Linked DNA regions of Coturnix japonica. The protein of the gene in region 1 interacts with the protein of each later gene in a pairwise test. Links are inferred from orthologs where the notes say so. Each region holds a gene or a part of one and is shown in the gene's direction. Other genes may lie near its edges.

The links.
Region 2: the proteins of SNCA (region 1) and torsin-1A-like interact in a two-hybrid assay, tested with the Homo sapiens proteins (2 studies listed by BioGRID, with this or other methods). The link is inferred for Coturnix japonica from reciprocal best matches to the Homo sapiens genes SNCA and TOR1A.
Region 3: the proteins of SNCA (region 1) and LAMP2 interact in binary tests that used the Homo sapiens proteins (3 or more experiments, as listed by UniProt). The link is inferred for Coturnix japonica from reciprocal best matches to the Homo sapiens genes SNCA and LAMP2.
Region 4: the proteins of SNCA (region 1) and myomegalin-like interact in a two-hybrid assay, tested with the Homo sapiens proteins (2 studies listed by BioGRID and IntAct). The link is inferred for Coturnix japonica from reciprocal best matches to the Homo sapiens genes SNCA and PDE4DIP.
Region 5: the proteins of SNCA (region 1) and SQSTM1 interact in binary tests that used the Homo sapiens proteins (3 or more experiments, as listed by UniProt). The link is inferred for Coturnix japonica from reciprocal best matches to the Homo sapiens genes SNCA and SQSTM1.
Region 6: the proteins of SNCA (region 1) and SDF4 interact in a two-hybrid assay, tested with the Homo sapiens proteins (2 studies listed by BioGRID and IntAct). The link is inferred for Coturnix japonica from reciprocal best matches to the Homo sapiens genes SNCA and SDF4.

What each region holds. Positions count from the first base shown.
Region 1 is NC_029519.1:31,290,067-31,294,101, reverse strand, and holds the start of SNCA (alpha-synuclein), read left to right. Parts: upstream 1-1,235; 5' UTR 1,236-1,403; intron 1,404-1,666; exon of another isoform or gene 1,667-1,687; intron 1,688-2,846; 5' UTR 2,847-2,871; coding exon 2,872-2,992; intron 2,993-4,035. UniProt on the Homo sapiens protein: Neuronal protein that plays several roles in synaptic activity such as regulation of synaptic vesicle trafficking and subsequent neurotransmitter release.
Region 2 is NC_029532.1:4,312,227-4,316,386, reverse strand, and holds the start of torsin-1A-like, read left to right. Parts: upstream 1-1,360; 5' UTR 1,361-1,375; coding exon 1,376-1,652; intron 1,653-1,833; coding exon 1,834-2,099; intron 2,100-2,585; coding exon 2,586-2,761; intron 2,762-2,853; coding exon 2,854-2,981; intron 2,982-3,632; coding exon 3,633-3,883; 3' UTR 3,884-4,160. Other genes in the region: C17H9orf78 (telomere length and silencing protein 1 homolog), read left to right, coding at 281-379, 744-835. UniProt on the Homo sapiens protein: Protein with chaperone functions important for the control of protein folding, processing, stability and localization as well as for the reduction of misfolded protein aggregates.
Region 3 is NC_029519.1:15,316,921-15,321,143, forward strand, and holds the start of LAMP2 (lysosome-associated membrane glycoprotein 2), read left to right. Parts: upstream 1-1,423; 5' UTR 1,424-1,497; coding exon 1,498-1,558; intron 1,559-3,935; coding exon 3,936-4,054; intron 4,055-4,223. UniProt on the Homo sapiens protein: Lysosomal membrane glycoprotein which plays an important role in lysosome biogenesis, lysosomal pH regulation and autophagy.
Region 4 is NC_029523.1:4,147,417-4,150,916, forward strand, and holds part of myomegalin-like, read left to right. Parts: intron 1-462; coding exon 463-621; intron 622-948; coding exon 949-1,062; intron 1,063-1,290; coding exon 1,291-1,428; intron 1,429-1,696; coding exon 1,697-1,876; intron 1,877-2,135; coding exon 2,136-2,330; intron 2,331-3,130; coding exon 3,131-3,277; intron 3,278-3,500. UniProt on the Homo sapiens protein: Functions as an anchor sequestering components of the cAMP-dependent pathway to Golgi and/or centrosomes.
Region 5 is NC_029528.1:4,616,723-4,620,860, forward strand, and holds the start of SQSTM1 (sequestosome-1), read left to right. Parts: upstream 1-1,338; 5' UTR 1,339-1,415; coding exon 1,416-1,593; intron 1,594-1,693; coding exon 1,694-1,789; intron 1,790-2,519; coding exon 2,520-2,749; intron 2,750-2,844; coding exon 2,845-3,001; intron 3,002-3,443; coding exon 3,444-3,533; intron 3,534-4,050; coding exon 4,051-4,138. UniProt on the Homo sapiens protein: Molecular adapter required for selective macroautophagy (aggrephagy) by acting as a bridge between polyubiquitinated proteins and autophagosomes.
Region 6 is NC_029536.1:2,140,754-2,144,253, forward strand, and holds part of SDF4 (45 kDa calcium-binding protein), read left to right. Parts: intron 1-1,403; coding exon 1,404-1,540; intron 1,541-1,740; coding exon 1,741-1,854; intron 1,855-3,500. UniProt on the Homo sapiens protein: May regulate calcium-dependent activities in the endoplasmic reticulum lumen or post-ER compartment. Isoform 5 may be involved in the exocytosis of zymogens by pancreatic acini.

The sequences.
Region 1 (4,035 bases):
TTCAGAGTATGGATTTACTTAAGGTCCCAGGGGGACAGAGCTGCTTTCCACTCAAACACTGACTATCTAGCCAGACAAAGTCATTAATTTGAGATGTTATTGTTGCTCATGTAAAATGTGTTATTTCTGCAATTTCAACCTTGACTGCAAGTAAAGTGTAGCTCATGATGAATAGGATGTGCAATTGCTGGATCATTTGCTAAGGATTTTCTGGAGAGCAGAATTATGAAGGAATGGTTTGTGTTCTCAGTCAGCACCTTCTCACACAAAAAAATACATTTCACCAAATGTTTGCTTGGTTAAATGTAGTAGTGGAATGAATCCCAAGGAAGATTACCAAGCGGTAAAGAAACATTAAGAAACCTGAAAAAGAGAAAACTCTGCACTGTGTGCTCAGAATGGAAATAAAAGCAGGAACCTGTCTGCTGTCTGCCCAGTATGATGGATGGAAGGTGCTTTGTGCAGCTCACATCCCTGTGTCTCATCTGTACCAAGCTCTGCTTCTCCTTTGGAGCGCAATGACAGAACAAACTGTTTTTGCAAGGTTTTGCAGGATCTGTACAGCATGCTGACTGATGTACTGATGCTGAAGGTCCATCTGTTCTAATACCTTGTTTTCCACTGAATTTGGCTTTTCATGCCTACGCTCTGCAGCAATGCAGAGAAGTGACATTGCCTTCCCTTTCTGGGGAAAAGTGACTTGAGTGTAACAGACCAAGAGGGGAAATGCAGTGGCTCTGGTCTGTACAATGGAGACCAACAGGTGTGAGGCTGGGCTTCTCATCCTTGTTTAGACAAAGATTTTATTATATTATGCTGTGGGGTTAAGGATCTTGTTTTACCTACAAGAGTATTACCTGCCATCCTTAAAAATGAGCTGGGAGCGTGAATCCTGAGAGCGTTCACCTCAAGTCACTCCGGCCTGAAGGCTTACGAGAGGAAGATAAGTAACCAAGAGCTCGGGGGCGTTTTCTGAGCCGTGGGTGAAGCGAAACAGGTGTGCTGAATTCACTAGCAACAGCTTGCTCGCATTGCTTCTGAGTGCTGTGATTCAGCCGCCGGGGCGAACAGCGGACAGGTGGTGCCACGAGATGACCAGGACCTCAGCCTCCCCTCTTCTTTCCTATCCTTACCTCCCACCCCCACGTCACGACGCATACCCGACCCGCAGCACATTCCCACCCAGAAGGGGATGGAGGCTGGGAGCCGCCCCACCGCCCCCGGCCCCTCCTCCTACCGCCCCCGCCCCGCACCCTGCCTCTCCTTCACACTCGCTGCCTGCCTTGCTGCCGTCGGGAGAGTTGGCGATGTGCTGAGAAGGGGCAGCTCCCATCAGGTCTCTCTGCGCTTCGCCCTCCTCCTGCCCTGCCTCCCCCCGCCTTCCTGCAGCGGCGGACCCAGCGGTAGGTGGTGGGGAGTGCATGAGAGGCTCTGCTCGCCCTGGGGCTGGGCAGCCGCAGGGGTGGGTGTGCGGACAGGTGCATTTGTCGCTCAACGTGTTCTCCTTTGGGCACGAAGGAGGAAGGGAACGGGAGGGGAAACCAGCGGGCGCCGCGGCTGCCGTGTGAGGGAGCCGCTGGGTGCTTATGTGCTCACGTAGCCCTGCCCTTCTCCTCGGATAGTCCGTATAGATACAGACACATACATGTGGGAGAGCCCTGCGCGTTCTTTCTTCCTTCCTCCACAGGTGCCCATTCTTTTATTTAGACTGAGCCACGTAGCCATGTACTGCTTTCTTCCCTCGCTCTGCACCCAGGTGCTCCCACACCTGCTCTCGGTGCTGCCTACGGTGTCAGTGGGGCACGGATTCTGCCCTTCTGATTGCCACGGGTTAGTAGCAAGCTCCCCACTGTCTTCCTAGACATCCCTTCCTCCGGCGGAGGGAAAGAACTAGCAGGCAGTGCATCTTCTGGGAGGGGGAGGGGGAGAAAGGGAAGGGGCTGTCGGCGACGGGATTGTGAAAGGGGTGTCTTGCTGGCTTTAATTACTGTCTTTGTGGCCTAATTGTAGCGTAGGGCTGTATAACTGCCACAGAACCTACTTGCTAGCTGTAGTGTGGTGTTATTAGTGTAGCATGTTCTTGCCTTTGCTTTTTTTTTTTTTTCCTCCTTAGTCTTGATGCATGTGCAGGATCCCTTTTGAAAGCTCAAGTGCTGGCAGAGCAATATGGGCTGCATGCAAAATGCTGGGTTGCTGGAAAGCAGTTTTGTGTTTGCTCAAGTCCTTCTGGAACATTAGTGGTTCTTCAAACAACAATGAGCGAACGTTTCTCATTTAGAAGAAGCGTTTGTAAAGTTGTTAGTTTTTAAGTTTTTCCTTTGAATGAGAAGGTGGAGCATCAGCGAATGATGGGATTAGATCTTGTAGTTAATAGACAAGAAACTGTCCTTTGGAGGAGATGGTGGTAGGCAAGGAATGGATTTGTTCCTTTCAGTGAGTGCAACTTCAAATGAGAACTGCGTTATCAGTGACCTTTCTGTACGTTTCTGTGGGAACTCCTGGGCCTTTCAGGGACTACCTTAGCCATACTGCTTAACTTGAACTTGCTCTGTGGTAGCATGTGAGATGTAAAGGTGAGTTGTGTAATGGAGCTCCTTTGTTTTCTAGTTATTTAACTGTTTTTTGTCTATCTGAAATACTGAAAGCGATCCTAGATACAGAGAGGTATGTGTATATTGCTAATACGGATGTAGATGGAAGTTATATAATATGTGAGTATAAATAATGTATTTCAAAAGTATTTTGATGTGCAATCAGTTTTAATAAAATTTTCTGGCAAAAAAAAAAAAAAAAAGCTGAGAACCATTATTTAAAGTGTGTTTGGTATTGTTTTTTTTTTTTTCTAGTGTTGTGTGAAGAAATCCTTCAGCCATGGATGTCTTCATGAAGGGACTTAACAAGGCAAAGGAAGGGGTTGTAGCAGCAGCAGAAAAAACCAAGCAGGGAGTGGCAGAAGCAGCAGGAAAGACGAAAGAGGGAGTCCTCTATGTGGGTAGGTGGGCAGTGAGGTTGTGCTGCTGATTGGTGTACCCTGACAGCCCCGCTCATCTGAAAGAAAGAGCTGAATTCTCTCTCTTCTCTGAAATATGTAATCACTCATAGGAGAGGATTAACTGCAAAGTAAACATGATGAGATTTGAACTCTCCTGAGCATAGGGTCTTTGACGATTGTTGCTTGTTTGTTTGATTGCTGTTTGTTGTGTGTCATGTATTTTTTTTTGGTTCTTGTCACTGTGTGTGCTGGTCATATGGGGCTGCATTTGTAATGTTGTACAGGATAAACTTGCCTGTTGGAAGAGGCCTTACAATGCAAGTTACTGACTGGCCCTATTTAAGATGCTTGCTATATGGGAGGTAAATTCACAGAATCCTGTAGAATGCCTGAGTTTTAAGCAGGATTTTTAAAGAAAAAACTTGAGATGTTGGTTCTGGAACTGAATCTAAGACGTGCCAATGTCTTTTCCTGGAGTAGAAGGAAGATAACTGTACACCCCATAGAAAGGAGCTTGTTTTCTTTCTTCACTAAATAAAGGTCCTCAGCAGTAACATTTTGAATGGTGAGGTGTCAGCTCCTTGTTTTTCAAAGTTAACCTAATGTTCTATACTTACTATTGCATATCCTCAGCAGCTATTTTCCATGGCTACTCAAAGAAGAACCTTTACGGTCACTGAGACAGTGGAGAAAGTGGGAAGCAGATGTTAGTTGACTTACCCAGACTATGCGAGTACTTTGCATGGAACCCGGGGAAAGATTCTTTTCAAATCTCACATTGGACTGTTGACGACACAATCATCGTCTTCACTTAGAAACTACCAGGCCTTAAAGTACTGTCTCATAAATGCCATAGTGAAAAATGAACAGGAAAAAAGCTGCCAAGAACATATGAATAGGTCATTTAAACTGGAGGAATTCCATTTTATTTTTTTTAAGTTAATTTCAGTTGCATGGTAGTAGAATAGGAAGGAAAATACACTCTTTTCTGTAGATTCGTTCTTTTTTTATGATTTGGCAGCAAGTCAATTCTGTAATGGATG
Region 2 (4,160 bases), on another chromosome or scaffold:
GGAGGAAAGGCAGCCTGTTACCATGTCTGACCGCACCTACAGGGGTGATCTGGTGTCAGGTTTGTGTGTTCTGAAGGAAATTAAGCATTTTTGGGTGACTTCTGATGAAATAGTGCCTCTGAAACATGGTGTATCCTATCCATAGAAAGCAATTACTGGAACACTTGTCGTGAGGTTCTGTGGTTTCTCCTGAAGATCAGTCATAGTAAGTGCCATAGAAGAACATCTGTGTGAAGAATGCAACTCTGAAATACTCTACCTGATGTTTTCCTTCCTTCAGTTTATCACGAGGAGCTCAACGCGCCGGTGAGAAGGAATAAAGAAGAGCCAAAGCCCCGTCCACTGAGAGTGGGGGATACAGAAAGGCCAGAACCTGAGCGTAAGTTCCTGATCTGAAGTGTCTTAAGGGAAGGTACTGGAATGTGTTGGGGTCTCATACAGAGATGTAGCTCTTTTGTTGTGCAAGGTCCCATAGGAAACCAGCTGGATGCAGGATTGTTTAGTGATACCTCTAGATGGAGCAGCAAAGGTCACCACCAGAATGCATTAACCAAGCTGATTGATAGGGGTGTGCTGAAAGCTGGGATGGCAAGGGAAGCGAGGTTAGGGAGCACTGAAGGACAGCCTTTCATAGAGCAAGGGACGGCAGTTGTGTGGCTTTACAGGAGTTCATAAGGTTCAAGTTTAGGTAATGTCATCAGGGAAAGGACTGGAAATGTGCTGATCCTCTGTTCCTTCTCAAGGTTCTCCTCCAAATCGCAAACGTCCACCCAATGAAAAAGCAACTGATGATTATCACTATGAGAAGTTCAAGAAGATGAACCGGCGCTACTGATAAACGTGGGCTGAGGGCTCTGCAGAGCTGCTTGTTCTCCCCATCTCTCATGGTGGATCTTGTGTCAGTGCCCAGGAATGGAGGAGCTTTCCTTGTGCTCTTGTCGATCTGTTTGTGAACTCTGGCTGGTAAAATCTTGTATATAACTTTTATTTTCCATCATAAAGCTTATTTTATCATAACGTCAGCTTTCACGGCGAGACTTTTTGTAGTGGGAAGATGAAATTGACTTTACAGATCCTCTGTATGGAGGAAAAACAAGTCAAATCTCCTTTAAAAGCAGGAGGAGCCCTTCAGGAGTGGGAAGGGGCAGAGATCAGTGTTAGCAGGGAGGAGGTTGGAGGGGGGTGATGTGAAGGAGCCTGAAAGCAAGAGATGGGGCTTAATAAAAGTCTTTTAAGGCACTGTAATGGATGTGTTCTTAATGGAGTTGTGGACAGCCCACATCACTCGTTTGATCCCTTTTTCGACTGGATGTCTATCACCCTATGGCTCCGCCCAACATGGCCGCGCCCAGCCCCGCCTCTGCCCAGCTTCAAGATGGCGGCGGCGGAAGTTATACATCAGGCCGGAAGCGGCGGACCGGAAGCGGCCGTGCCGGCCATGAAGGTGCAGCAGGGATGGCGGCGGGCTGTGCCGGGGCTTGTGCTGCTGCTGCTCCTCGCGCCGCCATCACGGGCCGTGGAGCCCATCAGCCTGGGGCTGGCCATCGCCGGGGCCGCCGCATCGGCCCTTACCGGCATCATCTCCTACCCCAGGCTCTACTGCTACTTCAGGGAGTGCTGCCTCCAGCGCCATGAGCTGCGCGTCGCCAACGGTGCGGGCTGGGATGGGATGGGGGCTGGGATGGGGCTGAGATGGGGCTGGGATGGGGGCTGAGATGGGGGTTGAGATGGGGGATGAGATGGAGCTGAGATGGGGGCTGGGATGGGGGATGAGATGGGGTTGAGATGGCGCTGATGTTCTGCTCGCTGTTAACGGTCCCATGTGCTCTACAGCCCTACAGGAGAGCCTGGACAGAAGGCTGTTCGGGCAGCACCTGGTCAGCAAGGTGGTGGTCAGGGCCGTGCGGGGCTTCCTCAGCAACAGCCAGGCCAAGAAGCCGCTGGCTCTGTCCCTGCACGGCTGGACGGGCACAGGGAAGAACTTTGTCAGCAAGATCATCGCTGAGAGCATCTATAAGAGGGGGCTGAAGAGTAACTATGTGCATCAGTTTGTGGCTACGCTGCATTTCCCTCACGCTCACAGCATCAACCTCTACAAGGTAAAGGTGGCAGGAGGGCAGCGGTGCTGCTGGGTGGGCTGCAAAGGGGCAGAGATGACCTCAAAGATCTTAAGTGAGAGGATCTCATGATACAGCACAGCATTGCTTTGCGTGCCTTGTTTTAAGCGTTGTCTTCATATAATTTCTGGATGGCTCAAACTAATGGCTGAGGACTGAATTCTGCTTCTGCCTGTTCCAATGGCTACAGGTGGGATCTCAGTGAGTCCAACAGAGCAGTTGTGATGCTGGGGGGTGCTTGGACCAAAGTGCTGCCTAAAGCACTCAGTGCTCCACAAGGCTCTGCTCTGTGTTGCTGTTCCTCCTGGTGCTCATCCTTTGTCCTGATGTGTCCTTTCCTTTTCAATGTGGTTTCAGGAATATCTTTCTCTTGGGAGTTCAGGCCCATCTCATCCTGTCTCTGGGTGTCCTGTTTTCTGCCTTTTCAATGCAAACCCTTTCAGCTGCACCTGTTTTTATGCCACCCAGGACCAATTGCAATCATGGATTCGAGGAAACGTGAGCATCTGTCCCAGGTCAATTTTCATATTTGATGAAATGGACAAAATGCACGCAGGACTCATTGATGCCATCAAACCATTTCTGGACTATTATGAGCTTCTGGATGGGGTGTCGTACAGACAAGCCATCTTCATATTCCTCAGGTAAGGAGCACCTCATTGGGTTTGCTGTCCTGTGCACACAGCGCCTTTTAAAACTACCTTCAGTTACAACCCTTGTTTTCCTCTTTTCTTAGCAACGCGGGAGCTGAAAAGATAACAGAGGTGGCACTTGATTTCTGGAGGAATGGGAAGGCGAGGGAAGATATTCAGCTCACGGACATGCAGAACGCGCTGTCTGTGTCTGTCTTCAATAACAGAAATAGTGAGTAGAGCTGAAATTGAGCTTTGACACAGTCAGAGTCCCATATAAATGATAGTCAGCCATCAGTGCACACAGTGTATTTCATGGAAGAGGTTTCTGCTTTATGTGGTCTCCAGTTTTTGGGCTCTGGAGCCACCGTGCAATGTGTGGCCAATGGGAGAGTTCTTGTGATGCCTTAGAGCTGAGGACACCTGTGTGCAGCTTGTTTGATGGCTGTGGGTTACGTTTGGATTAGGGGAGTTCTGTGCTGTGTGTTTACTGATGTACTAATATGGTAAAGAGAAAGCAAATAAAAGAAATGAGGCTGGGTGCAAGATCTGGGGGAAAAAGGAGCTGGACAAGCTGGTGTGTGAGAGCTGATAACAGAAAAATATTGGAACTTCTCTAAGTGAGAGAGGTGAGGCTGTGAGAGCAGCATGTGGGGAGCAGGGCTTAAATGCAGTCATTCAGAAGGGATCCAGCAGACCATGTTTGTGTGTCTGAGACAATGCAGAAGTGTGAGAATAGGCTTAATTTTAGATTGACTTGTGCTCTGTAGGGCCCTAAGAAACACAGGTGGATCCCTCCAGGTGTGTTGCAGGAGCTGTGACATTCACCCCCCTGTGTTCAACTTGAGGAGCAGTAACAAAGCCTTTCTCTTTCCTTTCGTAGGTGGATTTTGGCACAGCACCTTGATTGATAGGAATCTCATCGACTACTTTGTTCCCTTCCTGCCTCTGGAATACAAACATGTGAAAATGTGTGTCAGGGTTGAGGTGGAATCCCGTGGTTATGCTGTGGATGAAGACATTTTAAACAGAGTAGCAGATGAGATGACCTACTTCCCCCGAGAGGAAAGGATTTATTCAGATAAAGGATGCAAAACTGTGGACGCAAAGCTGGATTATTACTATGACTTATAAGGCTTTATTGCTGCAACCTGCAAAGAAGCAAATTTAACTTGATCATGAAGTGGAGAACCCAAGACATTTCATTAGTAAACACTTTTTAATGGAAGGAACGTTGCTGTAACCGGTATGTAAAGAAGCAGAAGCATCTCTGCATCTTAATTCTGTCACTAATCACGGCTCCCAGGCATGTCCTCCTTGTGCCAGCAAGGCCAGGAAGAGCTGCACTGTGAACTGAGGGCTCGGATGGGGCTGAAGGCTTCTCCCACATGGATCAGCAGAACCCCAGGGC
Region 3 (4,223 bases), about 16 Mb from region 1:
CTGCACAAGATTGACACACAAATTCATGAAGTGTTCCATAAATTTTACTGGCTGGAGGGCCATGCCCAGAGGGTAGTGGTTAATGGAGTTAAATCTAGCTGGCAACCCATTACAAGTGGTGTCCTCGAGGGGTCGGTTCTGGGGCCCATCTTGTTTAATATCTTCACTGATGACCTGGATGAGGGGATTGAATGTACCCTCAGACAGACACTGAGGCCTTGGAATGTGTCCAGAGAAGGACAACAAAACTGGTCTGGAGCACAAGTCTTACGAGGAGCGGCTCAGGGAGCTGGGATTGTTTAGCCTGGAGACTCAGGGGAGACCCCGTTGCACTCTACAACTTCCTGAAAGGAAAGGAGGGGTTTGGCCTCTTCTCCCAGGCAACAAACAGGACCTGAGGAAATGGCCGTAAGTCATATCCGTGGAAGTTTAAGCTAGATATAAGCAAGAACTTTTTCTCTCAGAGAGTGATCAGGCACTGGAATGGCTGCCCAGGGAGGTGGTGCAGTTGCCATCCCTGGCAGTGTTCTGGATGAGGAGCTACGAGCAGGATCGCTGCTGTTGCCTACACGAGTTCTGCTGCTCAGGACAAGGCAGGGAGAGGTGCTGGCTCAGGGCTGGACGTAGCGTGTGACTGGGGGCTATGCCCATAGAGCGGGACAGACAAGGAGCTGCTGATCACACTGCCTGCTTACAGAACTCTGCTTACAGGCATAATACGCCAGCCAACACATAGTTAAAATGACGTCTTGAGCACGCTTGTATAACACCCGTGTCCCAGCACCGCCTCCCTACCTTTGCTTCTGCCTGCAGGCTGGGAGCATGTTTATCCAGCTGTATCACAGCGTGAGCTCTCAGTGGGCTTTAGCAGGAAATCCTGCAGCAGCCTGGGCTCTGATCCCTTCACCTCAGCACAAAGCTTTCTTTTTTTGGCATTCCACGTGATTGCCCCGGTCTTGACTCAGCACTTTGCTGGCCCGGCAGCATTTAATGGTTTGGTTTCCCATCACCACCTCCTCCAGAAAAACAGCAGCTCAGAAAGGCCGCCATCTGCTCGGAGCGAGTGTGAAGTGCAGCTTTCATGCAGTTTAGATAGAAAGCCATTGTTTTAGAGCCGTGGCCATCGTGCTACCCCAGTAACAGCCGCAGCTGAAGCGCTCTGCTGCCAGGCTGTGCTGGGCAACGCTGTTTCTCCCACCATTTTTCCTTGTACTGAACTGTAAGCCGCCCTGTTACTTTAGCCCTACACCAGATGCTAATTTCACTCTGCTCTATTGCACATCACCCGATTTACTTGTTATGATATCTACCATCCCTCAGGGCCGCTGCACACAGAAAACCCACCCGCCCGCGGCACCGCGAGGGGCGCAACCGATCCGCCAACCGCGGGATCGAGCTCCGCCCGGCGCTTGGCGGCGCCGCCCTCCCCTCACATGACCGCTGTCGACGCTCTTGCCGCGCCCGCCCGCCCCTCGGCAGAGCCCCTGTGCCGGCACTATGGCCCCGCGCCGCCCCTACGGACTCGAGTTGTTGTCGCTGCTGCTGCTCGGAACCTGCGGTGAGCGGGGCGGTGCGGGGTGGGTGTGGGTGGGTGTGTATGGGTGCGGGTGCGTGCCGCTGTCCCTGGGGCCCGTGACGCGGCCGGTTGCCGTAGTGCCGTAGTGCGGGCGGGGGGGAGCGCGGCGGGGCCCAGCCGGACCGGGCGGCGCCTCCCAGGGTCGGAGCGGGGCGAGGAACCCGCTGCGTGAGGCCTAATGCAGCCACACGGCTGTGCGTGCAGAGGGGAAACGGACCTTACGGGGCTCCTGCTTGTCCTTCTGCTGGGGCAGAATAAAAAGCGAAATAAGGACGCTCTGATCGGGAGCCACAGCTCTGGGTGTGAAGCGCGGAGCTGCGGAGGGGCATCGCAGGCTTAAGGCAGGCTCCGTCCTGCCTATAGCCTGCCGTGTGACGGTGGGCTCTGCCGTCTCCAACGCTGTTATACAAGCAGGGTGAGAGGAGCTGGGATGTCGCTCCGTGCCATGAGGCTTTGGGGCCTCTGCTTTTCAAACGGTGTGCGATAAGCGTCGCAGTTCATACGGGGCATGAGGAACGTGTGCTTTCTTATGGCATCTGGAAGGAACCCCTACTGGGGAGGAAACACACCGATATCTGCTTTTACAGTTGCAGTTACTTGCTGTCAGCATAACTAAGTAGGCCAGGGTGTGCCTGGTCTGCCCTATGAACTTGCTTGGTGTGGCATTTCTCTTTGCTGTCCTATTTGGTAGCACCTATGCTGAAATATCCCCTTTGGAGAAGTTAGTTTCAAGCTGTTTTCCCTGCGGAGAGAGCACCTGTGTGTGTGTGTATGGGTTGCACTGGTTGCCCAAAGCTTTAGATTTGGCCACGTTCTTTCTGAAACGAGAAGCACTGGTGCACAGGTGCAGTATCAAATCCCTCCTCAGCTCAGAAGGGAAGGACTTTTAGTGTTGCTGGAACTCCAAACTGACTCTTGGCAACGAGTTCCGGTGCTACGTGGTAGCAGATTGCAAAGCTGTTATCTCTCGGTTGCACCATCCATCTCTGCACAAACAGTAACTGTTGTAAAAGCCACACTGCACCGTTGCTTTAACAACGTGCAGGCTCCTAGCCTAGGCATGAGACGTACTGCTTGGATCTGTTACCCTGCTTACTGAGAATCAGTAACTAAAGAAGTATGGCTGTTGTCAGGAGACTCTTAGGGCTTATTTAATAAGTTGTTCTGTGAGCTGTTGGGGACAGGGTGCGTGTTTATGTGCCTCCTGTAAATAAATAGAGTGTGGCTTGGGTTACTGAACGTGATGCTTAAGTGATATCATCAGGTGTTATGCTTGGTCGGGTGGGGTGATGTATGTGCTGCCATTGTTGAAGCTAGAACTCCTTGAGGTTTACTGCTTCAGGTTTAGAATAAACCATTTGAAAACCTTCATTTACTGCCTTGTCCTTAGTCTGAAGTGTTCTTACCACATAATAGTTCCATTAGGGTTCCAGCACTGATAAATTAATGGTGTGGTATTGAGCACAATTTGCTTCAGAGCCAACATGGTTAAGTTTCTCCTGGCTCTACCTCGGGTACTTCTTACTCTGAACAGCATCAACAATGCAGGCTGCACTTGAATGCTGTTAAAGCCAACTGTCTTGTGTGCGGAGCTTTGTGATGCTGGTGGAAGAGAGCCAGTATGGGGCAGGGAGGAAGTCCTTAATGTCAAGGTGATGCAAAGCGTGAAGTACTGTGGATTCTGTGTGTTGAGGGGTGGAAGACTTGAATGGCTATTGAAGAGAACTGTGCAATCGTAGTTACCATCACTTTAGGGAAACGAGCCTGACTAACATCAACCTTATGTTAGTCAGGAATGATGCTTCTAACGTTTCGATCCTGTCTGTTTTAGGGAACTGTGGCAGGCTGGGAATGCTGAACAAAACCAAATGAGAACTGGCTTTGGGGAAGTCTCTGTGTTGGGAGTCAGGCTGGGTTAAAAATCCAACTACAAGTTCTCTAAAACCTTGAATGAAATTTAACATCCGTGTCCTTTGAGCCAGAAATTGTAGAGATGCAATGAAAGCACACTGATCTGAGAGGTCAGCTGGAGTCGTGCCATTAATAAGACAACATGGAGACTCTGGTCGACAAGCACTGCATTGTTCTAAATGCTGTGCTTGTGCAGTTTGGTTTACTCAGTTTCAGCCAGCAGAAAGCTAAAGCTCATCTAATTTGTTGGCCTTGGTCAGGCAAGTAGACTATAAATTATCCTCTCAATTAGTATTTAGCATTGATGGTGGGCTTCCTAGTTTTAACATTTATTAGATATCTGGCTATCGGTTCAGTGTCTGACAAATAGAATCCAATCTGAAATCATGTACTACTTTGTAATGAGCATCAAGTCTATGTTTTAATAGCTAATAATTGTATCTTACAGGTTTTTTCCAGTCCTATGCAGTGGAAGTAGATGTAAAGGATGCCTCTAATGTTACATGCTTGTATGCACAATGGATGATGAAATTCTTGATAAAGTATGAAACAAACAGTAGCGATTATGTAAGTATTTGGAGGAACTCTTGTTGAGAACTGCATTTAGCATGAAATAAAACTATTTGATACATTTTGTATTTAGTTTATTGGCTTTCTTGATAAAGGTAAAAGATAAAAGCCTAAAATAATCATACTGATCTTGTGCAAGGCTCCATCTAACCCTGCCAGGTTTATA
Region 4 (3,500 bases), on another chromosome or scaffold:
ATTCATCACTTCTGCCTACACCAGTGTGGACACACTTGACTAACTCTGTCTTGAATATGGCGTGGAGAATTTTTAGCCTCCTTGGCTTCCTCTCTGGGGATTTAGGATCCTATAGACATGATAAAAGATGTTTTATGGCAGGTACTCTTCTAGCTGTTACAAATGTCTTTTTTTGCAGTGTTACAAAGTTAACATCTGCTGTTGCGGGAGGTTCACTGTTACTGACTGTAAAGCTTTGCTTGTGGCTAGAGTGAAGCATCTAGATGAATGGATTTCCTGGGAAGGGAAATAAATTCCTGCTTCACTATGAAAGTGTATTTTGAGATGTGAAATCTGAAGTATTGCAGAGCATTTCTGACTGCTCTCATGGCAGTCCTTGTCATTCTTGGTTCCTTCGGATTCAGCTACTCTTCACAGGTCTGTTGGGGACTGAATGCCAAGGTGTTTGCTTTTCCTTTGCAGGAGCTGCGTGCTGTGGTACAGCAGCTGCAGGCAGAGCTGCAGGAAAAGGCTCAGCAGATCCAGACTGTGGAGTGGGAAAAGTGCCGTGAGCTGCAGGCCCAAGAACAGAGAGTTCAGTGTTTGAGTCAGCACCTGGCTCGCAAAGAACAGCTTCTGCAGGTGAGATGCAGAAAGACTCAGACTGAGCATAACTAGCCAGGGCCCCTTCTCCTTTGGTATGTGGAGATGTGGAGGTTAGTCTGTAGCTTTAATACATACCCTTAAAAGAAGGGAGGGAAAGAGATGCTCCTGTGCTCCTCAGGTGAGGAAGCTGGCACAGATTTCCACATACCTCAGCTCACAGCATGGTGAGCCCCGACAGGCCCTAGTCAATCAGGTGCAGGTGTTCTAATTCCCATTAGTGTAGTGAATAGATCAGATGCTCAGTCTACTGTCCAGGGGTTTTCTGGACTGACAGCTGTACTGGGTTGTGTGCTACTTCTTCAGGAATCAAGGGAACTTCTGCAATGCCAGCAAAGCTTGGGCAGGAGCTCTGCAGCCATGGATGCTATGCTGGAGAAACTGCAGCAGCGAGTCAGCGACAGGGATGCTGCGCTGGAGGTGAGTGCACTCTGTTAGTAACACATCCCTGTTTTTCATGTGGCTTAATCTTTGGGTTACCATCAACAGTACAGCCCCACACTGCTCTCTTGCACTGACTCCCGTGTTCCTCATGGCCCATTCTTCCAGAGAAGCCTTCTGGAAGGGAGAGCTAAGGTGCTCCATGTAGAACAGTAAGCTGCAGAGCCTTTCTATCCCACGTTGAGTATTTCACTCTTGTCATTCTAGAGAGCAGTAGACGAGAAGTTCTGTGCTCTAGAGGAAAAAGAACAAGAGCTGCAACAGCTCCGTCTCTCAATAAAAGAACGTGGAGGTGACCTGGAGAGGCTGCGCAACGTCCTGTCCAGCAATGAGGCCACCATTCATGTAAGTCCTTGTACTAGGGTGTGTGTAGGAATCCAGCCTGGCTGCGATGTGGAGCAAGGCAAACCTTCATGTGATTGCACTGTCAAGGAGAGTAATTGTGAGGTGTTGGCTTCCTCTGTCCCTGTGTGCTGGGCAAGTTCCCAGGGCTCTTGTGTTTCTGGTCTGGATGTGGATGTGAAAGTGGTGCCTGGCAAGGATGGAGATGTATGTCTTTGTGCAGGGTAAAGTCCCTGCCCCTGATTGAGCTCCTTCTGTTGTTTGTCCTTAGAGCCTGGAGAGCCTCCTGAAAGCTAAAACACTGGAACTTGAGCAGATGTCAGCAACCTGTGAAAATCTCCGCTGGCTCAAGGAAGAGATTGAGGCCAAATCCTGCAGCAGGCAGAAGGAGCAGGAGGGGATCATCCAGCAGCTGCAGACTTGCCTGCATGACAGAAACAAGGAAGTGGAGGTAAGGCCTTCACTTAGATTTCCAAGCCAGTTCATCTGCAGAGAGTGTGGTCCAAGGCCAGAGCCTCTTGGCTGCCTGCTGCTCAGCGGTTTGTAGTGCCTTGGAAACTGGCTGCTTTCAGCACATGTGAATAACCTGTGCTTTCTTAAACGTTGTTGACTCAGCTCCATCTGGACTGAAGAGCTGTTTCTCCCTGAACAGGCTGCAGTTTGTTCATAGTAACGTTTCTCCATCTCTCCCTTCCTCTCCTTTTGTTCAGGAGCTGACAGCAACTCTACTGTGCAAGCTGGGTCCAGGACAGAGTGAGGTGGCAGAGGAGCTGTGCTTACGTCTTCAGCGCAAGGAAAAAATGCTGCAGGAGCTTCTCAGTGACAGGAACCGTCAAGCTATGGAGCATGATGCTGAAATCCGGGAGCTGCTGCAGGCCATGAGCACCAAGGAGCAGTGGAGCAAAGTGAGTTGTGTGCAGTGCTGCAGTGGGGATGCTGGGGTGGATGATTCTGCCTCGTGTTAAGCATATTGAAGCCTCTCTCTAGCTACTGGAGTTGCTGAGTGCTGGAGAACCACCAAGCTGCTTTTAGGTTGGTCACATTATGATAGGAGCACTTGTAGCAGTGTTCAGCTGTGTCAGTGTTTGTGATGAGGAAGGAGGCTGGGATCCTTTTGGGTGTTCATGTTCTCAGGCTTGAGGCAGTTGGAGGGACCATGGGGTGGGGGGTGGGGGGGTTGAGGGTTGCTACTTGTATAAGTCTGTATTACCAGACCAGAAAGAAAGACTCGACTATTTCTTGTGTAGATCAGAACTCTGAGGAAGCTTTGCTCATTGTGTTGCAACTTACACTTCAGTCAAACTGCTGCAGGATCCTGGGCATGTAATGCCACAATTCCTGCTCTGCCTGCTCTTGCACACTGTATGCAATTTAGTGTTAACTGAGATACTTCACATCAAGTTTCCTTTCACAAAAAAAGAGGAGGCTGAAAGGCCAAACTCTCTCCTCTTGTCTCTCTACTGCTTTTTTTCCCCCCCCCCTTCTGAAGGGGGGTGAGGGAAGCAGAGCAACTTGTTCCTCTGTAGGTAGAGAGGCTGTAGATGTCTGGCAAGCCAAAGTGAGAGGACTGCAGTGGAATCACTGAGTGACCAGGAGCAGTAGCTACCAGACTATTTGAAGAATGCTTTTGTTATCAGTCAAGATGTTTTCCTGTAGTCTCTAAGAAAGCCCGGTCTTCCCCTATTTTTTTTTCTTCCTCAATCAGGCCACTACTGAGAAGATGGTGCATGCTTTGGCTGAAAGAAACTGTGAGTTACAGCTCTTGCGCCAGCATGTGTTGAGGAAGGAGCCTGTCGGGATCCAGGCAACTGGTACCAGTCTGCTGAAGCAGGACAAGCAACAGCCTGTACAAGTAAGGATCATGTACAGTGTTTTTCCTGTGGCCTTGGGGCTCCAGAGGGAGCTTATTGCCACGGGAGGAACTGAGATAGGGGAGTGCCACAGGGAATGATAGTACTGAAAGTGGGATTAGGAAAGAGGTTTAGGAGGACAGAGGAACTGAGGAGCAGAAATGTTGCCTGGACACTCTGACCTTGATTCCACTGGCTTTTGTCACTCAGTGTCACTCTTGTTTT
Region 5 (4,138 bases), on another chromosome or scaffold:
TTTTATTCCCATCCTCTTTGCTGTCCTCCTGCTCCGTCCATCTGGGGAGCTGCTCATAAGCCGGGGCTGACAAGTGGTTTTTTGAGCAAGGGTTGTTCTATGGATGGAATGTGGTTCCTAAAGAAGAGCAAGAAAACATTCAGTGCTGCCAGATAAATTCCAGGCCTGGGTCCTCCAGGTTAATACAGGCTCAGGTTAACAAGAGCTTAAGCCAAATCTCAGGCTGCAGAGCAGTGTGCAGTTGGGGTTGGTGGGGAGACATCTGTCTGTCCGTCCGGCTGTGGGATGGGAGGATGCAGTGAGTGCCATTGGAATACATGGGAGCACGGCAGGGCCGAAGCACCAGGCCACGGGGAAACACCAGAGTCAGGGCCTGGAGGAGGAAATCCCCACCTCGAGGAGGAGCAGGGAATGCTGAGTCACCCCGTCCCGTGACTGAGCTGAGCTCACTGCTCACCGCAGGCCTTGTTTGCTTTGTGCTTTGAGAAAGTGAATGATGTCACGGCCAGAGAGCCCAGCGTGACTCAGCAGGCAGCTGAGATGGGACGCTCTCCATGTTTACTGGATGGAAGTGCCCATGGAGGAGAGCAAGGACTCATGTTGATGCCTGGCTGTGGCTCACACCAAGCTCTCACTTGTCACCTCATGCTGCACGAGTGCCACGTCCCAGGAGCGTGCTGTGATCCCAGAGCAGCCACATGTGCACCAAGGGCACATCCACACGGCAGGCCGTGTTGTGGCACACACAACCCATCGTGGGGGGACGCTCACCCTGCAGTGCAGCACAGCATGGCTTACACACTGTGATTGCCTCAGCCCAAGGTGGGCAGCCAGGCTGTGGGCTGGAGGGAATCAGTGCTACAGAGCTGAGGCAAAGGGGTTGCTCCAAAAGTAATGCCTCCCATTTGCAGGTGGGATGGCAGCAGAGGGTGAAGGAGCCAACAGCTGCTGAGTGTTATGGAGCCCAACGAGTGGGTGAGCACAGCACTGTGAGCACAGCACTGTGAGCACGGCATGGCCGTGTGTTTCACAGTCACCTGTAGAGCAGCATGCAGCCTCGTGTTCACCACTGATGACAATGCACAGCACAGTGGTGGTGACCGCGTTGAAAAACAGTGCTTTGTAGCTGAGAACCTGCTCTGTCAAACAGCGTCACTGTGATCTCTGTAGCTGTTGTAGTTTCCATGCAGATAAATAGGAGGCATTACTTTCGGGGCGAATATGGGCTCTGTATTTCCAGGCGGCGGGGCGGTGCCTAATGGCAGTGGTCGTGGTTTAACCCAGGGCTGTGCCCACCCCGGCCCGTCCCCCCGCTCTATAAGGCTCGGTGCCGCCGCTCCCTCCCGCAGCACCGCCCGCCCCGCGCCGCCTCCCGCCGCTCGTTGTCCCGCAGCAATTCGTGCTGCGCCACAGCCATGGCGGCGCTGACGGTGAAGGCCTACCTGCTGGGCAAGGACGACGCGGCCCGCGAGATCCGCCGCTTCTCGCTCATTGCTCCCGTCCGCTACCAGCCCGTCCACGACCGCGTCGCCGAGCTCTTCCAGGGGCTGCTGCGGGCCGGGCCGCCGCCCGCGTTCCGTATGCATTACAAGGGTGAGCGGGGCGGGGGGGCTCGCTGTGGGTCGGGGCCCCCTTCGTTGTCCGGGAGGTGGGTGCGGGCCGAGCGCCTGACGGTGTGCTCTGCTCTGTCCAGATGAAGACGGGGACCTGATCGCGTTCTCCACCGACGAGGAGCTGGATATGGCCATGCCTTACGTGCAGGACGGGGTCTTCCGTGTGTACATCAAAGGTAACGCCCCGCAGCCCGGTGGCACCGAGCGCTCTGTGCTGCTGGCACGGCTCCGAGACCGGGAAAATCCCGGTCCTGTCCCTCATCCTCGTGCTGCAGCTCAGAGGGGAGGTTACATAAAGGGCGAGGTAAAGACGGGCACAGACCCACTGTGTGCAGGGGTTCCTCCTGGCTCCGGGGCCTGGGTTGGCACAGTGAGCGCTGCAGTGTTCAGGATGGTCCTAGGAACCCCCTGCCGTACTGCCAGCAGGTGCCATGACATGTAAAGAAACCCCAAAACCAGCTTATTCCTAAGCACATCATTCCCCAGTCCGCTCTGTTCACTTGGACACCTACAAAGCTTTATCTGTAGGCTGTGATGTGAGTAGTGTAGGCCGCCCTTCTTGTCTCAGTTCTCACCTGCAGTGTCCCCTGGCACTGCTCAGCTCTGTTCAGAAACATTCTCTTCTCGCAGCACTCCACAAGGTAGGAGGATGCTCCAGGCAGGGTGGTGCAGCACTGATCTAAAACAAAGTGTTTGAAGAGCGGGTATCCTTGAACCACCCCTTTGCACTTGGTTTATGTTCTTATGTGCCCCCAGCTTGTGTTTGGCAGCCAGTGTAAAAATAAACTGCCCTAGTAAGTCAATACTGCTGTGACAAGGGCTGTTTGTGTTTCCTTCCCCTCTGCCCGATTTCCAGCCTTTAAATAGTACCCTCGTTCTTGATGCAAAGATCCCTTTCCTTAATAGAGAAAAAGGAGTGCAGGCGTGAACATCGCTCCCAGTGCAGCCAGGAGCCTCCCCGGGACATGGTGCACCCCAATGTCATCTGTGACGGCTGCGAGGGGCCGGTGGTGGGCGCTCGATTTAAGTGCACCGTCTGCCCAGACTACGACCTGTGCAGCACCTGTGAGGGGAAAGGCATCCACAAGGAGCACAACATGGTGATGTTTCAGAGCCCGCTGCTGAATCCGTTTGAGGTGAGCAAAACCTATGGAGCAGAACCAACAAAAGGGATGCTGCCCAAATGTAAGCTTTAAGTTTCACCTGGTCCCATGAACGTTACCCTTTGCAGTGGATTCCCAGAGGGCGCTGGCTCCGTAAGATGCGGCATGGTGTTCCACCCTTCCCCTGGATGCACTGCTGGGGGTATCCCGCACCTGCAGCTCCGTGCCAGAACTCGGAACAAGCCCAGGCCAGTGCTGCTGCCTCCAGTCCACCCGCTGCTGGAGGTAAGAGGAGATGGTCTGCTAAAGGAGAATAGTAGTGGAGGAGCCAGAGAAGCTGGGACTTCACAGCCCAGTGTGGGATCTGGGTGGGAAAATAGACATGGGAACTAATCCAATTTGTGTGAAATAATGAGCCCTTTCCAGGACACTGGTGTGGTCTGGTGGCCACACAATATATGAGGTTATGGAGAGCCTATTTGGAACCAGACCAAGCAGAGCTATTAGGTCAAGCATGTCACTGCTCTGCTCTTAGATGTGCTTTCAGCATGGCTGATGAGCCTTAACAGTGCTAATGCCACTGGTCTTCTGTTCCAGAGGTGGTTTTGGTCTCTCTGCTGCCTTGGTGCTGTGCAGATGAGTGACACAAAACAAGCACCAAGAATTCCTGGGGATGTGCTCTTTCCCTATGGGCTGCTATGTGTACTAACACAAATTGTTCTTCTAGAAGCTTCTACTAACAGCCAGCCCCAGGACCCCAATGTCACCTTCTTAAAGAACGTTGGGGAGAGTGTGGCAGCTTTTCTGAGCCCCCTGGGTAAGTGACTTATGGTGTGTCATCCCCATCCCTGAGAATGGCTTTGCTCCCACCAGGAGCAGCAGCCAGCTGTTGTGGCTGGTACCAGAACCACTTTGTGCTACTCAGCCTCAAAAGCCTTAAGTTTCTGTGTACTAAAATTGTGTGGGTATAGGCCATCTACTCAGTACCTTTTCAGAGTCCTTTGTAAGGATCCAAGGAAGGGATTAATTATATAACCCCAAATCACCGATGATTTAAAATCATGTTACAGTGGTATTTTGCTTAGGCACACATACTTAAGGTCTGCCTTGACCCTCTAAACACATGGCCTGTCTTTTTAGTGCAGGATGACTAATTGGTGCATCAGAGCTAACTAAAAGAACGCTTTGCACTTGAATTCATACGTATTATATGGGGAGCTGTAGGGTTACAGTCATGCTGCAGCACTTAGTCCAGGATTAAAGTTTGCTTTTTTTCTTAGAACCGTGCTTTCAAAAATCTAATGGTTTTTTCTTGGTCTCAAATGTATTCCCAGGTATTGAAGTTGATATTGATGTGGAACACGGAGGACAGAGAAGCAAAGTGACTCCTGCTTCTAATCAAGAGAATAACGGTGCCGAGTC
Region 6 (3,500 bases), on another chromosome or scaffold:
TATCAAAACCCCCCACTGCTCACCTGGTGAGTGCAAGACAACACAAGTGGAACGTGACCACTGTGCTCATCTTGCTGTTGTTTGGTGAAGAGTTGCTGAGTCTGTGAATAAATAGGTCAAAATGTGTTTACAGTATTTTAAAACAGCGTTAATGTGTTTCAGAAGATCAGATGCTGGCGTTGTTATTTGTCTTAAGCCTGTAACATTTAGGTGACATTTAAATGCATTCACATTTAATAGCTTGAGTTTCAGTGATAACGCTTCAAGTAGTTTTAAGACTAGTTCAGTTTAAAGAAAAAAACACAACTTGGCAGCCTTTATCTGTTTGAATCAGAGTGGTTTTGTTTTGCTTTAAATAGAATCTTGCCTTTTAAATGTTACTGATTTCAGTTTTAAACATTGTTACCTTTTTTGTAATAAAATAATCGTATGCTAAAAAAAAACCCACCCCCCAAAGTGGCAGGTTACTGTCTTTGTTCATCTGTTATTTTTATATCCTCTTTAATGAAATAAGTATTAATGGCATTGCTCATTTGGCAGTCTGTTTTGATAAAGCAGTATTCGTAGTATGAGGGGTAGGACAGTGGGCTGTCAGGTTGGACACATCTTTTATTCATCTCACTAACTGAATTATGAGCATAAGTGTTTCTCAACAGGTCTAGCAGCATTGCTCAGTAACACTGTACAGGTTTGTATTTTGACAGAGCAAAGTGAGCCTGCTAGCACTAAAACTATGGGAACAAGTGTACATGCAAAGCTTTTGCAATGTGCCTGTTTAAGGGTTAAAGTGTATTGCCTGTAGTGCGTTACTGGGGATCAAGTGATCATTAAGGCAACTTGATTTTTGTTTTCCCCCCCACTTATAAGGTCTATGTAGTGTAGAATTCTTCAGAAGTCCTTGCACTGAGATGTTCACCTTTTCCATTGTTTTTAATTGCTGCAAAGAATATGATGTGATCGAGGCAGGCATGTAAAGGCAGCTTATCTGTAAGCTTCAGAGACTTTGGAAAAACAAGGGAAAAAAGACTTGCAAAGTTAAATGGAGGGGGAGTTACTGATTTGGGAGATTCTTAGTGCAGAAATTTGTCACAGTAGTGAAAGTTTGCAAGAGCTGGCAGTTGACTATTATGAGCCATTAGGATATTATCAGTATTTGTAGTTTCCTCTAGAAATGTACTCAAAAGCATAGTATCGAAATGAGTTAAGTTACAGCCAAGTGAAACATGGTAGAATGTTTTTGAACTAGGCAGTTACCTGCTGTACCTGCCTGTAGAAGGATGGATGTGAAAAACAAGGGAGCTTTTCTACTATAAGCCCAGAGTCTATCCTCTGTATTAATCCTCTATGTAATCCTTTCAGTTAAAAAAAAAAAGAATTAAATCTTGTCTGCTGTTCTTTCACAGAGTGGATATAGATAATGATAAAAAGATAAGTGCTAAAGAGATGCAGCGCTGGATCATGGAAAAGACAGATGAACATTTCCAGGAAGCTGTGGAAGAGAATAAAATGCATTTCCGTGCTGTGGACCCTGATGGTGATGGTAAGATAAAGTGTTTCTTCTGCCTCCTGTGACATAAACAGGTTATTTTCACAAGGCCCGTCTGCTGTAAGGAAACAGGAAAGTGAATCAGGTGGTAGTTCTCATAAAGTTTATTGTGATGGTCTTGTTCACAAATTAGACCCAAAGTTCCCATTTTTTGCTATACTAAGTCATGTCTGAGATATGGCTCTCTCTTACAGGTCATGTTTCCTGGGATGAATATAAAATCAAGTTTTTGGCAAGTAAAGGATTTAATGAGAAAGAAATCGCAGAGAAGATCAAAAACAATGAAGAGCTGAAAATAGATGAAGAAAGTAAGTGGAGGCTGTTGGAGTCTGGTTTGTTGCTTTAATTCTGTTCTTTTGCTTTCCCAGAGCCTGAGTATCAGATCTGTTCTTAATGCTGGAGTAATATTTTGGTTGTTCTGCTAATACAGAACGTGTAAAACATAAGGCAGAAATACTTGAAGTGTTTCTAAATCACATCTGCACTCACAGCCCTCTTGATGCAAATATTTAACATTGCTTCCTTATTTGTTACTTCCTATGTGAGCAGTTGCAGGTGTCTGTGTTTTATGGTCTGCTGAAGTTTGTTAATCTGTGTTATCTGTGGACCATTGCATTATTACCTGGAGTATCAGCTTCCCTGTTGCCTCAAATGACAAGTAGCTGGAAGTACCCGATTTCTGCTCTAAAACTGAGTATGTATGCCGAAATAGTGTGTATCTACGTATGTTGGTGTTCTGTTCAAACAGGCACTGCAAAAGATTCTAGAAGTTAATAGCAGAAGGTTACCTAACAGTTGTTTCATGTTTCCTTTAAGCTCCCTACTGAGAGATTTTTTTCAGATTAGTGAGATTGATCATTTCTTCCTTACTACTTTTGAAACTTTCATTTGAATCTGACTTGTTGCAAACATGGCAATGCTTGAGATTAACCTGCCCACATCTAAAAGCATTCAAATTTTATTGTTAAGTAAAACATCGAGCCTTAGCCTTTCCTTGCAGGAATTAGTCATTTAAAAATGGGTTTTATTTTCCACTTATCAAAAAGCAACTAAAATGCAAATGGGCCTCTGAGTTCTGTGGCAGGGAAAACACCTGTACAGCATGTTCTATGGCAGTGTGGTTAATAGCTACAGTTTACAAGAATGCTCATCAGATAAATCATGTACTGAATATGGGGGGAAAATGTATATAATTCTTCTACCTGGGTAGGAAGCCTTATTTGGGAAAACCAAATGAATTCCATTGCTTGCTGAAGATGATAGTGCTGAGTAAAAGGACTTTTAATGTCTGTACAATTAGAAAATAACTGAACATGGGAATCAAGGCAAGGTCTGGGTTTTAGGCGGAAGCTGATGCAGATGTCTAGCACGTTACAGTGTAGAAGTCAGGTCATATCTGGGGACACAACCTGTTTTAACTTACTCAGATAACTGCGGTTTCAACTGATTAGTGACAGTTGAATTTCATTAAGGACTTGAAAAGCAGGCAAAAAGGGAGGCCTCTCTTATGACTTCTAATGTTTCATAATCTGATTATCCAGCGCTAACTGGTGTTTTTGAAATAACTAAATCTTTCCATTTACAAACTGACTTTGAGATTCATATTAGGACTCCAAAGAATTTTATTACTCTTCACACAAAAAACCCCACATACTGGAGGCTTAACTTGTAATTGCAACTATTTTTTCAAAATAAGTGTAGATGCTACCATGCCTGCATCTCTTTTTATTGTAACTCATGCAACCAAAGGCATGCTGGAGATATGGAAGACAGCTTATTAAACGAATTATATATATTATGCCATGAATGTGGTCTTTCAGAGCTTCTTTACAACTTGTGAAATGCCCGTGCTTCATTTTTCATGTTTGTTAGTTCATCTTACAGATATGGTGTGCCACAGACTGTATTTTTTTTTCCTATGTGTCATTTAGAAAATGCCTACACCAGAGAAAGA